Linked DNA regions of Mus musculus: all the other regions are reported to be linked to region 5. The links are microRNA targets in miRTarBase. Many come from high-throughput screens and were not tested one by one. Region 5 holds a microRNA gene; each other region holds the end of a gene's coding sequence.
Evidence for each region. The annotated mature microRNA mmu-miR-7b-5p reads UGGAAGACUUGUGAUUUUGUUGUU and lies in region 5 at 1,409-1,432, shown strand. An mRNA with a match to its seed (bases 2 to 7 or 8) in the 3' UTR can be bound and repressed. Matches are read on the target gene's strand: a 7mer-m8 pairs with bases 2 to 8, a 7mer-A1 pairs with bases 2 to 7 and ends in A, and an 8mer does both.

Region 1: miRTarBase lists Ndst1 as a target of mmu-miR-7b-5p. Seed matches in the 3' UTR shown: 7mer-A1 at 993-999.
Region 2: miRTarBase lists Nrep as a target of mmu-miR-7b-5p. Seed matches in the 3' UTR shown: 8mer at 614-621.
Region 3: the mRNA of Tmcc1 is a reported target of mmu-miR-7b-5p. The part of its 3' UTR that is shown has no 7-base or 8-base seed match.
Region 4: the mRNA of Eif4e2 is a reported target of mmu-miR-7b-5p. Seed matches in the 3' UTR shown: 7mer-m8 at 861-867.

Annotation. Positions count from the first base shown.
Region 1 is chr18:60,686,462-60,689,533 of GRCm38, forward strand. It overlaps Ndst1 (N-deacetylase/N-sulfotransferase (heparan glucosaminyl) 1), which reads right to left. Exons shown (of 15, transcript NM_008306.5): 15 at 1-2,903. The coding sequence ends at 2,784. Among named protein-coding and RNA genes, the nearest start is that of G630071F17Rik, 25 kb to the left of the region's middle.
Region 2 is chr18:33,435,976-33,439,047 of GRCm38, reverse strand. It overlaps Nrep (neuronal regeneration related protein), which reads left to right. Exons shown (of 4, transcript NM_053078.4): 4 at 209-2,029. The coding sequence ends at 334. Among named protein-coding and RNA genes, the nearest start is that of Nrep, 26 kb to the left of the region's middle.
Region 3 is chr6:116,019,252-116,022,323 of GRCm38, forward strand. Tmcc1 (transmembrane and coiled coil domains 1) reads right to left here. Exons shown (of 6, transcript NM_177412.1): 6 at 1-3,072. The coding sequence ends at 2,836. Among named protein-coding and RNA genes, the nearest start is that of Plxnd1, 26 kb to the left of the region's middle.
Region 4 is chr1:87,227,719-87,230,790 of GRCm38, forward strand. It overlaps Eif4e2 (eukaryotic translation initiation factor 4E member 2), which reads left to right. Exons shown (of 7, transcript NM_001039170.1): 7 at 83-1,140. The coding sequence ends at 155. Among named protein-coding and RNA genes, the nearest start is that of Eif4e2, 15 kb to the left of the region's middle.
Region 5 is chr17:56,241,609-56,244,729 of GRCm38, forward strand. It overlaps Mir7b (microRNA 7b), which reads left to right and starts at 1,380; the gene lies at 1,380-1,490. A230051N06Rik (RIKEN cDNA A230051N06 gene) reads left to right here and starts at 108. Exons shown (of 2, transcript NR_155493.1): 1 at 108-206; 2 at 548-1,197.

The DNA.
Region 1 (3,072 bases), not on the chromosome of region 5:
GGTTTGAAAGGTCCATTTTAGCTTCGTCCTCATTCCCTATGCGCACCGAGGTACCCGCCCCATAGAAAGCTCTAGAACCTGGAATGAATGAGGCAGCTGCCGGTGAGCTGCACCCATAAGGCAAACGCTGTTGGTAGAGACTGAAGAAGGGACAGGGTGTGGCCTGAACAACAGAAGTAATTTCCTTCCAACTTGTTTTTGTGTTTTTCCAAACGTTTCCAGTCAATCAGTGGACATTGTCATTGAGAGATACTAAGATGAACGTATCTACTTCCCAAGACCCCACATCTGCAACTTGTGGCAGCCTCTAGGCCCAGCACTGAAAGGGACACAGCAGCAGTTTCCAGGGTCTTAGAGGGAAATGGACCAGAGAGAACCACTCCCCTGCTCTGCCAGGGTCTCAAACCTGCTTGCTTTCAATGGAGACCAGAAGCAGAGACTAACAGAGCTGCATGCTATCTAAAGGCCACTCCAACCATCTAACTCAGCTCTCACAGGGTCTCAGAGTAGCTTTCAGAATATAGGAGCCATCCTCACTGACAGGTGGGAAGTGTGGCTAAGGGCATGCACACTGACCTAACCCTGAGTCTGGTTCTAGCTTGTTGACAGGGCATTTGAGCATATCACATAGGGACTGGGATCCACAGGTTCCAAGACCCCAGTGAGAAACATGATGTGACATGGCTCTCTGCACACCAAAACCATGCACGCAGGTCCCTCTGAGCATCCCACACTCTCCACCACAGTGGAGAACTCCAGGAAGGAATAGCTCATAATGAAGACGACCCCAGCTAGTAAGATGGATGGACTCTGGAAACAAGAGAACACAGCGGGAAAAGTGCAGGTCTTGGAAGGGAAGGCTCAAAGGCACCTGGCTGGGAAAGAGTGGTTTGTCCCCATGTCCTGGAATGACCACAGCTATGTGACTGAGGGACAGACGGGACCTGGAACACAGTAGGGTCCCGAAGGCAGGCTCAGAGGCAGTGTGGTACTGGAAGAGCACGGGGCTCAGAATCAGGGGCCTGAATTTAGCTCTTGGCACTGCTTCCAACAGCTCTGTGACATTGACCAAGGCCACCTCCCATGCCTGGACCCACTTTGTGCCCGTCTTGGGACCCTTGCATGGCCAGGATGTCAGAACAAATGGCTGGTGGACACTGGACTGGCAGTTAAAGAGATGTGGGGGCTTGGGGTAGCAGGAAGAGGAAATCCAACCTCAGTCACTTCACATTGTTAAAAGGGGGACAGAAACAGAATCCAAACAGAAACCAGCCAAAGACCCTGTGTCTTCAGGGACTGGAGACAGTTCTGTGGGTCCCTGTGGGCACCCCACTCCAAAGCAGACCCCAACCTAGCACCATGTGACAGGGGAGGGAGAGGCCAGCTCAGGGCCCCAGGTGTCCCACCCCGGGCCAGCCTTTCCCTGTGGCCCAAACACCCCACGGCCACTAGGCTTTGTAAAGCCATACTATTTTGGGAGAGCTGGTCTTCCTTTCCATCTTAGCATCTCTGGTCCCTCTGCAGAAGAGGGAAGAAGGACCCTTCAAGACTTCGCCCTGAGGCCTGGGTGCTCATAGACACTCACCTTCCTTTCCACCTCATTCTCTAGCATTAAGATACGACATTCTTTGAGGCTCGGGCTTGCCATCATTGTATATGACTGAATTAAAAACAAACCCAACCAAAAAAAATATATAATATATATATACACATTTCATATATATATATATATATATAAAACACAGTGCGACCCCAGCACCCAGGGTATAAACTCTGGCACCAAGAAAAAAAAAAAACACAAAATATTAAAATACTTTAGCTTCTTAGTATTTGGGAGGTTAGGGGGTCTCTGGGGACCCTCGGCCACAGGTTGCTAGGCAAAGCAGCGGACAGCACTGCTTGCTGACTGCCATGTCTGCTGGGCCGAGGCGGCAGCTGTGAAACAATCTATGTACACGGGACTATGAACACTGGCAGACTCCTGACTCGCCTCAGCCTTTACCACAGGAAACACCACATGTCACATCCAGGTGAGCAGGACGGGGCCAAGGCCCACGTCTCTGGGCCCAGTGGCATGGCAGTGGCCCAGGGCCTACGAGAGACCATGAGCACTACTAGGTGGATACAATAGGGACCAGAGAGTCTTTTCCCAAAGAGGAGATGAGATGTGATAATAATAACCCAAATACAGAGTCGTATGTCCTCTCAAGATGGTCACCCTCACATTCAGTCTAATGAGTGCATCTGGGTGCCTAGCTAAACCCTGGCAGGGCCTGGCTCAAAACCCTCAGGGACATGCCCAGTCTTTCTCCCTGGTTGGGCGAAAGGCCCAGCTGCGCTCTTCCCCTTTACTGTCTGGAGGACAGAAGAACTATGGCAGCTAATACTGAGGGGACATCCTGATGGAGCGGGAGGGGGGGTGACAAAGGACAGGACAGGAACGGTAGGACACAGTGAGGGACAGGAGAGAGCCTCCAGGACTCCTCCTACCAGGAAATGACCTTCCAACAACAGGAAGTGCTCTCCCCAGGCAGGGAGGCTGCGAAGGAACGGAATGGACCTCTGGTACCACAGAGGTCCCACAGGCCATGCATCCAGCGGTGGATGCTCTGAGGCGCTTGCAGACCTGCCTGGGCTTCCGGCCCCTGTGGGCCTCAGCAGAGTATTGCTCGTCGCTTTTGGCTGGCTGGGCCCAGCTTCCTTCTCGGCAGGTCAGTCTGGCTCAGTGTGAGGCAGGACATCCCTGCGAACACAAGCGTTCTGGCTGGCTGTGGTGGCCAAGGCTACCTGGTGTTCTGGAGGTCTTCCCGCAGCCAGGTGGGCAGTGTCTGGCCCATCTTATACAGCAGCTTAGAGAGCTCAATGTTGTGGTCCCGGAAGTAATCCTTTAGGAAGGCTCGGGACTGCAATGGGAAGAAAGCTCAGATCAGGGGTGACATGCCAATATATGATCCCCTCCGTAACACCACACTCTGTCCTATAGAGATGCTTCCAGATGCTCACGTGGGAGGGGCACCAAAACACAACACCCAAGGTCAAAACCCACAGCAAAGAAGAGAGCATTCATCAAAG
Region 2 (3,072 bases), not on the chromosome of region 5:
ACACACATGGGCATGCAGGCAGACACTCATACACATAAAATAAGTCTTTACGTTCAGGAGAATACTGTTAATATATAAACTGTTTGCACAATAGAAAAAGTTCCAGGACAAGAAAGCGGTAGAGAAGCAAAAACCGTTAAAGATGGTTTTAAAAGTGTGACTAAGTATATGTTTGTGTGTGTGTCTGTTTGTCTGTCTTCTCCTGCAGGGAAGACTTCCCGTGCCTAAGGAAGTGAACCGAAAGAAGATGGAGGAGACTGGCGCTGCCTCGCTGACTCCGCCAGGCAGCCGTGAATTCACCTCTCCAGCTACCAGTTACCTCCACCCTTTTTAATCGTCCCACCTCCATTTGTATTGCATATGGTGTATGGGGTTTTGATGAGGTCTTGGTATCATATATGGGATTTTTTTTTTTTCTGTGTAAATCATCAACTATAAGAAGAAACTATGGGACTCTAAGCCTGGCTTTAGAGAATTTACAGTGGACAAATAGGTTTCATCAAACCAGTTTTTAATCATTCTGACTCAAGTGAAAACGCTCAGAATTTCACACTGTGAATCCACGTTTACAACCCCTACAGGTGGGCCTTCAGGCCTGGTTCGCTACAACAATGTCTTCCACAACTCAAAACTCCTACTGCGCTCAGATGACTGGTCCACTCCTGCCTTTCATCAGACAGCTCCCGACTGCTTCTTGCAGAGGCTGAGAGTCCCCCCCACGGTTTTTTTTTTTCTTCATTTAGATGTAACAAGCCTAGTAGTTTATGTTCATCAATTGTCTGTATATCTATATTTTACCCATGTACTCTTTTGATGTATAGAAGTAGTTTGAAACTCATTGTTTCCTTGTGGTAAGTGACTGAGACGCTGCCACAGGGCCTGAGACACTGATGAATGGTGCTATTTTGGACTTTCAACATGCTCCTTGGCGAGGTAGCTCTGGTGGAGTTGTTTTTATTTCCATGTTCTAAGAAGGTGTCGGTACTTTGTTTCCTGGAATGTTCTTCTCTAGACTGGACTGACTTGTTTCCCTTGTGTCTTGAGTGTGGCTTTCTTCTTCAGGGTTGTAGGTTGAGTGGATGCTACCAAGAGTGTGAGAGGCTGTCCTCTCGTGACTGGCCCTGGTGGATGTGCAGTCACGGTAGCGGGAGCAATCACAAAACTGTAATTGACCTACCAGATCTCTTCCTTTCTGCAGCCTCACCTGCCTGACTTAGAAAAAGAAAAGCAATAATTTTTTTCCAGGCGTTCTGAGGTTATCTCTTTGGATTCTTTTTGTTTGACTAGATATTGGGGGAGGGGGGATAAAAGTCCACTCTTTTAATAAGTGCCATGTGGGAAAAAAAATCCAAAGTGCTGGCATTTGAGTAGGAATTTGAAAATTATCCCTTTCCCAAAGTTGAAATTGGAAAAATGTCTTTACAAAATAGTGATGATGAAGGTGATGACTATGATAGTGATGACGATGTTGTTGTTGTTGTTGGTGGTGGTGGTGATGATGGTGATGGTGGTGAAAGGCAAAATACCTTTTTGGGGTGGTTTTGATAAGCAAGGTGTAGATTTTACATTTTTGTCCTTGCTCCCAATGAAATGGATAAACAAAAATAAAATCTGACAATGCCATCTCCTCACAGAATGTTGTTGTGTTAGCCAGACTGAAAGCCCACCTTAATTTTTATATAACGTCTTTGGCTCTTCCTTTGACAGGGCAGGCCTTGTTCTGAACTGTTTGCGCTTCTGACTGTTAAACACCAATGATGCATGCACTGTCCCTCTTCACTCTTTCTCTCGCTTCCCCTCTGGCTTGAGTTTCTTGTGCATTCTCGCTACCCCCACCTCTGTTAGGGTAGGTATATCAGCTATGTAAATAAAGCAAGGAAACGGTATTGTGCATTTGTGGCATTATGTAGAATTGCAGTGTGCGCTGCCGAAAATGCAGGCTTTTGTAACGTGGTCCTCTCATAAGTACCCAATGTATTTTAGCTATTTTAGTAGGATTTGTTCAATAAATATGCAAGCTATAAGGTAACTGTGCTTTGGCTCATTATTGTAGGGTCGGTCGGTCTTTTTTAACACCTCTGTCGATTCATACCACGTTTTGTGTTCCCAGGATCCCTCAGGTCAGACAGGCCAAGTGTCAGAAGGGTGAAGCAGATTTGCCTTTTGAAAATTTTCTCTCTTGAGGGCTTTAAGAGATTAAGGGAGAGGTAGGGGCTCATTAAGATGGTGTTAACAGCATTGCCCTGGTCACAAAGGAGAGGTAAATGCAAATCCTCCACTTCTCCTTAGGGCATTCCCACTCACCTCGAGACGCACGTTCCCACTCACCTCGAGACGCACATTCCCACACACCTCGAGACGCACGTTCTCATACACCGCAAGACGCACATTCTCACATACCTCAAGATGCATGTTCTCACACTCCCTTACCAGCAAGACCCACTCTGGGAAAGGTTGGCACCTCCACACAGACAAAAGACTCACATTTGTAAGAGGATCCAATTCTGAGATAGGCGTTGAAGCCATTGGTGTGCAGGCATGCAGTCACCCAGACCCCTGTGGGTGATGAATTGCCATCATCAAAGCCTTTTGGAAGTCTCAAGTGACTCTGAAAACTGGAATTTGGGGACCCATGCTCCATGTAGATAGACCCATGCGCTGCTGTAGATAGAATCTATGATTGACACATGCAAGGCGAGCTACTCTATAACTGAATTTTATGGTCAAACCCTCTTTGATATATTCTTTAGGAAGGGCAGGTGTGTGAGTACATCTCAGTTCTGAACAGAGACCTATGACTAGAGGATCTGAGGTTCTCAGCCAACAGCCAAGGGCGTGGGCATGGCTCTCCAGCTGCGGCCTCGGCATTGAATGTTTGACTGACGTCTTGACTGTTGAGAAACTCCTGCTGCATTCCTCATTCAGCCATCGTGGGACTGAAACGTCACCTTGACTTATGCAAGAGTTTCAAAATCAGCTGGTGGAGTATAAACACTGAGACACCTCACCAGAGGGTAAAGAACATAATTCTGAAATAAAAGCCAGAGAGAGAGAGAGAGAGAGAGAGAGAGA
Region 3 (3,072 bases), not on the chromosome of region 5:
CCTGTTAAGGAGTAGAAAGCCTTCATCACCGGGCCACACTGAGTATACCAAAGACCAGAAACTGGAGCAGACAGCTATCAACAGTGCAGAATGATGGCCAACTCTACAACCACAAGTCACCCAGGCCAACACAGCCAGCCTCACTCACCCGGGCTAGGCACCAGCATGGAAAAGGGAATCAAGAAATGCTTCACTTTAGTGGGTTTTTTTGATTTTTTTTTTTATTTTTTAAGGAAAAGAAGCATTAAATTATGGGCAAGCTTCTCTCAGATCAAGTGCTAAAACCATCAGAGCAAGGCTATAGAAGGGCTGTGAATAGAAAAGAGATTCCGAGGACAGCCACAATTCCAAGAAACTCAAAGGCAACAGGGATGGGCAGCAAAAAGTACAGGTAGGCAGAATAACAGATGTGTTACAAACAGCACTGAGTGCAGGCGACTGTGGGCCTGGTGAGTGAGAAGGGTAAGACAGCAAGAAGCCATGACAGGGTCTGTCCTGGACTGAAGGTCCTTCCCAAGGCAGTCTGCTAGAGGAAGAAGGGAATTAGTGCAGGTCTGCCTGTCTCTTTGAAGCTCCAGACACAGAGACTGCCTTTAGGCAATTAGAAACAACTTCAGCTGTGGATCACAGTGGCATTTGTGGGCAGGGGTGGGGGTAGGAATAGGGTTCCTGTGGAATGGGTAGAGAAGCCAGTGGGCTGCCACTGAATTGTCTCTCCCACAGCCCCATGGGGTTCTCTTCTATACCAGAGCAACTAGATTACAGCAGCAAATGCTAGCCCAGCAAGGCCATAGTGTCCTGTGGCAATTCTTGCATGAAGCTGCTGCAATATTTTCGGGCCAAGTTAACCTTTTAAACAGGCTTGGGGACCACTTGTTTTGGCATGAATATGCATTGGTTTTAATTAGTTTTCCTTCTTTTGGTCCTTGCTCTAGGTGCTCATTAATGAGGTGAACAAGCACCTGGGGATGGAGTGAAGACTGGGTACCTGAGTTAAACTATCAAAGTGAGAAGGCCAACTGGCCAAAGCAAAAGGAGGCTGGAACTGCTATGTAAACCATCCTTTCCAACAGATAGGGTAATACTACCCTCGTTCTGAAAGAAGGTCCTGGTATGGGGACATAGGCAAAACATACTTCTTTGTCCAGGGCATAGTACATGACCCCTTTGCATCATGTGGGCACACAGAGAGGCCACTGGAAATGGCGTTTGACCTCCAATGATATGTGACTAATCAGGCTCTGAAGGTTGATTCAGGCACTACCTGAGTGATGGAACTGGCTATATGATGAGGATCAAGCTCAGTTTATCTTCCTAAAGTGTCTCTAGACAGCCACTGAGCAGTTAGGTTAGTGTAAGTCAGTCTGGGCTTGTAGGAAGCTTGCAAAAGTGTGCACCTAGAACTTGGGTCCTTCTAACCTGACATTTCTTTTTCTGCTTTTTGGGAGAATCATCTTCCATGGATCCTCTCAGGCAGACAGAATAAAGCTTTGAAGTTAATGATGCTGAGGCCAAAATGCAGACAAGACGACTCCGTATCACTTTGGTTTCGGCAGTTAGGGGGTGTTAAACAATAAATTAAGCAAACACAAGGAGTTATTTTTGACTCTCATAACATAGTAGTAGCCTTTTTTCCTAAAGAGAATCCCAGCCCAAGGTCACAGGTGAACATTTACTTGGTGGGGAAAACAAAAATCTAGTCCTACCACGCTAGTGTGTGTAGTCTTGTCCCCTTACCCTGTAAACCCCTCACCATTCTAACCAAGCCAAGCCGGGGAGATGGTGCTGTGTGGGTGATAGAGACCAGAGAGCCAGGGCAGCCACAGGGTGGCAGAGGGCAGCATTGGCAACAGGCTCCAACTCAACTGTTTCCAGACAACAGGGAGCAGCACGCTGAAATATCCACACGGCTTCATTTGAAAACAGCACTGCTTTATTTCAGAGGAAAAAAATAAAAGACCCTCCCAACCCAGTCCCCTTCACCCCCCAAAAAACCCGACCAACCAACCAACCAACCAAAAAAACCCCAATAATAATAACAATAATAAAAAATTCTATTAGAAATTATAAGGAAGCACTGAGAGTTTGAGTATTACATTCTTCAAGTATGTTGTTCGGATTTTTTATTTTTAAGTTGGTAACTATACACATATATATATAAAAAACAACCAAACCTTAAAAGTGCGGCCAAGGGATTTTGCTTAAAAGTTAGGATTAAGGGCTACTTCACAATACTGAACAGGATTGCGCAGTCATCCTATGGGCTTGATGCTCTTGCTTCCAATCCTGGCAGTTAAGAAAGGAGCAGGTTCAGAAGTGATCATACTTCAGGGTTAGCGTGAGAAAGCTAGGGAGATGCCTGTGTTCTTCCACGGCAGGGAAAATCCACCCTGAATCTAAAATTCCAACCTGGAATGTGGTGGGACTTCACAGTAGAGTTAGTCTGGATGAGGAGAGGAGCCAGGCAGGGTGGGTGTTGGGCCTGGTCAGGTTTTTGCATCTGTTTAGTGGGTTTAGTGCAGTTCTCCAAGCTTCAATTCAGAATGCCCTTCAGTGTGCTGCAGATTGTTCATGTTAAAGGACTGTTTCAGATTTGCATCCCAAGGAAAATCATGCTACATAAAAATGATCCAAGATTTTTGCCCAAAAAACTTCTTGGATAAAATCTAAAAAATACTATTGCAATTGCGTCTTTTGAAGAAAAAAACATTATCCTAAATGTAAACAGATTCACTCAACTCTCTTGTAGAAAACTTCAGAGTGGGTAATGCTGCTGTCTAGCTCTCTTGGCATGCACTCGCCAGACGGTGAAGAGCACTGCGTTCCATGCCAGCATCATCTGGGGGGTGAGAAGAGCCGGTCCACGTAGCTAAAGAGGGCATCCCAGTGCTTCCAAAGAAAGGCAATGAAAGCCACTAGGAATAAAGTGCTGAACGTCCTGTTGCGTGTCTTCATGAGGGGGACCACACAGTTGGCTACTGTTGACACAAAGACCAAGAGAACTGCCATGACAGCAAGGAGGATATTGATGAGTTTGCCCAGAAGGTTTCGGGCAGTGGCATTCTCCAGCCC
Region 4 (3,072 bases), not on the chromosome of region 5:
CTCCTCAAGACCCAGATGCTACTTTCCCTTGCTCCCCACTCTCTTTCCTCTCCCAATGAGCTACCTTTTGCACTTCCACTAGAATGCCAGGCAGGCTGGGCCCCCAAAGGCTCCTTTTTCAAAACCTCTGGAAGCCGCGATTGAATGTGCCATGACCCTCTCCCTCTCTGGATGGCACCATCATTGAAGCTGGCATCATCGGAGTCTCTTGTTCTGTTGGCGTGCCACCTGGAAGACCCTTCTGTCCTGGACAAGAGGAACGGAAGAGCATGTTATCCTTTGAGAACAGGCTGACAGCAGCAACTACTACAACAGCTGAGATCACAAATAAATGGTGCTAAACCAGCTTGTCTCATGCTCTTGCTCTTTATGGTGCATCAAGATGTGGCCTCTGGATTGACTGTCACCATTTTCAAGGGATGGCACACAGACTTCTCCATGCAGGGCCATTCAGGGAACACAACTTCATAGCCACAAGCCCATTGTGTAGTCACATGGTACTTTATTCCGGGACTGTTGTGGTCTGACATTAAATAATGAGGTGACGTCTAACTCAAGACCCAACTGCCTGGTGCTCAAGTGTACTAGTTTCCATCCAGTTAGACCAATGGCTGGCCCAGAGTGGCGGCTGAGTTCAGGTCCAGCTTGAAAGTCTCTTAAGGTTGGAAAGGGGTATCCTTGGCTTTTCTTTGCTAACTTCCATTTGCCTTTAGTTCATAGAAGTCTCTTGCTTGGAACTAAGCCCTGCTTCTGTCTGTCTGTGGCCGCACATACATACTTTTTTGCTTTGTGCTAATGGGGTATTCTCTCTGGTGCCAAAGCTGCTTGGCAACCTCCTCCGTTTCCTTGCAGAGTAGATTGTCTTCCTCTTTGGTAGTCTTGCTTGGTGAGAGCCCTTCATTCTTTCTAGCCCAGGGTTACTGTGCCAGGCTCTAGGGTGAGAGGTGCCTTCATCTTGGGGTGGGGGTGTGCAGTCGCCTGTGAGGTAATCTGAATGTACATGTGCTACCCTTGTGAGTACTATGGCTTTGGCTTATATGTGCGGGCAGCTTGGCTTTTAGACCATTAACCTGCATGGAGAGTTTCAACAAGCTTTGTTAGCCATCCCCAAAACTAAAAATTAAAAAGCATTTTTGTGAACCCTGGGTTGTCTGAATGGAAGGTAACTGCAAGGTTGACTTTTCTAGAGTGCTTCGTCCAATCTGACAGCAGCACACTCCTTAACTCTAGCTGGCTGACTTAGCCCTAGTTGTGTGCCCAGGAGTCCACAAAACACAATGAGACCTTAGGCTAGGTATCCTGGGGGTACTTACGTCATTACTGCTTTATCACATTCTAACATGTCTAGAAAAGAAATTTGCTAAACTGCAGAAAGCCTGTCAGATGTTGGCTTTCTTGGGCCTTCTGCCTTATCTTTCACTGGGAGGTACACATGCATCGTAGCTGCATCAGCAAGCTCGATGGCACGTTCCAGAGCTAGAGAGTATCAGCAGCAGACTGAGCTGAGATCCCCTTCAGATCCCAGCTATGTGTGAGATGTCAGTGATGCTCCTGCCTGGGTCTGCTTCTTGTGGGTTTTATTTGAGCCAGTGAACAGCATCTACTGAGACTTGAGGAAGAGCCAGCAGTAATGATGGTTTCCCAAGTACTCTGGAGATCAGGGCTGCTAATAAGCAAGGGCATGGTTTGAGGAGTGGTTGAGCTTCACTCAAGCATTCCTCCAGCTTGCTGTTTCAGCCCAGTTTCTAGTGTTCTTCACCTGTCCGTCTTTCCAGCCTTCCCTGGTCACCCTGCCTGTTGCCATTTCCTACAGCACACCTGGATGAACCAAGAAGTAGCTGTTGCCCCACAAAGAGGCCACTTTGCTTGGTCCTTGTGTTGCTACCTGTCCCTAAGAAAGATAAAGCTTATTCACTTGTTTGTATCAGGTCACAGCTCTGGAACTTGCCATGTAGTCCTCACTGGCCCCCAACTTCACCTCAGACTGCTGGGATTAGAGGTGTGAGCCACCATGCCAGCTCTCATGCCCAGCTTGTGGCTCCTCTGAATAAAGCAGATTTGAGTTTTCATAGGTTTGGGTCCTTACATCAAATGGCTCACAGCATCCTCTACTTGGGGGGGGGGGGGGGGGGACTCCTACCACAGACAGAATTCTGGGACCACTAGGGTACTGCTGCCACAAAGGCAGTTAACACAGACAGCACTGTTGTGAGAAAATTGCATCTGGCCTGGGATGGCAAAAGGACCCTCTTCCCATAATGGAGCACAGTGCTGGAGAAGCTGATGGGAGTTCTCTGCAGAGCGTAAGGAAGAAGGGAAGAGAGAGGCCAAATTGTGGAGTCTTCCTTCACCTGGTCTAGCTATCATTGTATTTCAACATTGAACTTTAATATACAGATGAGGGCCAGCTCATTCACTGCCTTAGTTCAGTCATAACCTGGTGGTCCTGGGCCACTTTAAACTTAGAGCTGTCTGACCTTGCATTGTGTGCTATATATACCCAGACTAGCAGGTGGCTAAACCCCTTTCTAGTGAGGGCTGGCTGAGAGCAAGGCACTGGTGCCTGTAGGCTTTGGGTGGAGATTAGAAAGCAGGGAATTACAAACAAATGAGATCTGGTGAGATAGGATCAGTGGACCTTAAAGAGTCTTTCTTGCTGTCACTGGAATCTCCTCAGAATTCTCAGTGGGCTTTGTTCATCTCTGGTGTGTTCGTTTCTAGACACTCAAATCATAAGGCAATTTTTAGGATAACTTCCTCTTTAAAAGAAGAGCATTTTGAAGTTACCTGATGTGCTTGGGCTGCCGAGTGGAGGGACAGTGACTAGACATTCACACCTGGCTGGCCTCTGAGGACAGGAGTGGGTGCACCATTGCTCACGGCCACGTGCTTTATTTCCCTGAATCCATGCAAGGAAATTTCCAGACCCAGAATCTTCATGTCTAAGCATAGAAAATAGGAAGTCAGTTTAGTGTGTCGTGTACTAGAGGAACCTCTTCAGCCTTCCGGGTCTTCACCCAATGAACCATTGTTAGGCAGAGTTAGTAGGGACTGGCCCTTCTGGAAACAAAG
Region 5 (3,121 bases):
CGGATGCCTGACTTTTATTCTGAAGCCGAGGCCTCAACCTATGAGGTAATCCTTGGAGCTTCATTCCAAGACGATTCCTATTGGTTCACTGGCTAAGCCCCACCCAGGGTTTCCAGCGCTCCGCCTTCCCCTTAAGCGCATAAAGGTGAAACGTCGGAAACTGGACAGCCACCGAGACACCTGCAGCTGCTGGTGAGCAGGAGAAGGTAAGGCACGAAGGAAGGAGGAAAAGGTGCGCTGAGGGAGGGAAGCGGGGACTCTGGGTACAATGCAAGTTGGCACATCTTCCAGAAGGCCAACTGGACTGTTTAGGAAGGGCAGAGAACCCAGGGCTGTCTCCCTGAGATGTGGGAGCAGGTGAGAGCCTTGCGCCTTCGTCCCCGCCTAGAACACCCCGGGTCCATGGGAAGAGATTAAAACAGAAGATGGGTCCCTAGGACGAAGAACAGAAACAAGGAGCGGGGCATTTTGGCAGAAGGCAGAAGCTGGGAGAGTGTCCTCGAGCCGCACTGACCACCCCCTCCCCCAATAACTAATTATGTTTCAGCACTGGAGACGCGGACAGCGCCATCCGGCTGAGGGACTCGGAGCAGAGTTCGGCTTCAGCACCAGGATTTCGGACAGCTCCCAGCGGGTCACGAAGAGACTAGGCTTCAGCACCCGGCCCCTGGCAGTGCCAAGCTCTCAACACCCAGCTTCAGGGATCGCCTTGGGGTCTGTTCTGGCGGAGAGTGTACAGGGAAGGAACCTCTTAATGGTTCTTGGCATTTGTCCTTTACGGAGGGATTTTTTTTTTCTTTTTTGAAACAGGGTTTTTTTGTGTGTACCTCTAGCTGTTCTGAAACTCACTATGTAGACTAGGCTGGCTTCAAACTCACAGAGTACAGGCGAAGCATTTGGTCAACGAGATGTTATGAGTGCCTCTGGGTGTACTAATTTCCAAAGTGAAGTGGTGAGGGGAAAGCCAGCCTCAATCCAACTTTAAATCTCAAGTTCTTTTTATTTTTAAAAAGAGTTTTTCTCTCAATTATATATATAATTATTATTATTTTAAAACACTGTAGACCAAGCTTTGAACTCCTTGTGTAGCCAAAGATGATCTTGAAGTTCTCATCCTCCTGCCTCTACTCCCTGCGTGCTGGGGTGACAAGTGTGTGCTCCTCGTGCCTGGAACAATAAATCCCACGTTGGTGATGTGCCAGGGTGTGAGTTGGGGGGCAGGTAGAGAATGAATCTTGCCTGTGTCTCAGGGGATGGAATGGAAAAGGGATGTCTAGGGAGGGTAAGTCAGTGAGTGGGGTTTGTTATGCTCAATCCTCTATGGAGAGAGAGAGAGAAGCACTTGAGGGTGTTGAACCTGGCGGAGGAGGATGAGGACGAGGAGCGGAGTACGTGAGCCAGTGCTATGTGGAAGACTTGTGATTTTGTTGTTCTGATATGATATGACAACAAGTCACAGCCAGCCTCATAGCGTGGACTCCTATCACCTTTCTCCTGAAATACACAAACAGGTAGGGGCAGGAAACTGGGACAGGAGGGGGTTAAGGGAAGTCTAGCACGGACAGGAGAGGGTGTCTAGCAAGGTCTCGGGCCCTGGGAGAGTGCAGGAGTGTTTCCCATGCTATTGGCCTGTCACTCAAACACATCTACATGATAGGATCAGAGACACAACCTCAGGGCCCTGGGTCACAGCACCGTGCTTTCTCTGGAGACTCAAATAGGGAATGGTGAGCCAGTGGAGTAACTCAGAGGGAAAGAGTGCTTTGAAATTAGGGAACCCAAGCTTGAGCCCCAGGATCAACTGGGTAGAAGGATAAAACCAACTCCTGCAAGTTGTCCTCTGACCATACATGTCCTGTGACACACATGCTTCCACACACAAATAAATAAACACACATAAAAATTTTTCTTTTTTTTTTTTTTAAGAGAGGGTTTCTGGGGCTGGTGAGATGGCTCAGTGGGTAAGAGCACCCGACTGCTCTTCCGAAGGTCCAGAGTTCAAATCCCAGCAACCACATGGTGGCTCACAACCATCTGTAATGAGATCTGACTCCCTCTTCTGGTGTCTGAAGACAGCTACAGTGTACTTACATATAATAAATAAATAAATCTTTAAAAAAAAAAAAAAGAATTACATTTAAAAAAAAAAAAAAAAGAGAGGGTTTCTGTATATAAACCTGGCTGTCTTAGAACTTACTCTGTAGACCAGGTTACCCTCAAATTCAGAGATCCACCTGCCTCTGCCTCCTGAGTGTTTGAATTAAAAGCATGTGCATACATAAAACTTTTTTTTTTTTTGGTTTTTTGAGACAGGGTTTCTCTGTATAGACCTGGCTGTTGCTCTGTAGACCAGGCTGGCCTCGAACTCAGAAATCTCCCTGCCTCTGTCTCCCAAGTGCTGGGATTAAAGGCATGCGCCACCACTGCCCGGCCATAAAACTTTTAAAAGAGGGATTGGCATCAAAGGTACTTCTAGAAAACCCTGAAATTCTTTTCTCTTTCTTGTTTTCTTTTCCTCACTCTTTTCACTTTGCCTGCTTTGAGACAGTGTCACCTGTAGTCCAGGCTTTTCTCTAACTCTGAATGTAGCCCAGGATGGCTTTGAACACTGAGTTCTCTTGCCTCCAGTCCCTGAGAACCATGCCTAGCATACACGGTGTTGGATTCAGAATTTCAAATGCTTTGACTGGGTACGGTACCCATGGAGCCCCAGCCCAATTTTCAATAAAACTCTGTGCCCGCCACACAAAGCAACCACTAGTTGCATGACTGATACCAAGAAAATGTGGACTTGTTGTCTGGTGGGTCATGGCATTCTTAACATTCAACACCTATCATCTGTGACATTCTAATGCAGTCACTAACCATCCCCCACTGTGCAATTCTCCCCAGCTGTCCTAGTGTGCATCCTGGTGCTGTGACAGGACCTTGACTCAAGAAAAGGGCAGGAAAGAGTTTATTCAGCTTACAATGATGGCCACACTCCATCACTGAGGGAAGTCAGGGCTGGAACCGGGAGGCAGGAGCTGATGCAGAGGCCATAGAGGGGTGTTGCTTACTGGTTGCTTACTTGCTTCCCCTGGCTTGCTCAGTCTTCTTTCTTATAGAATCTGGGACCACC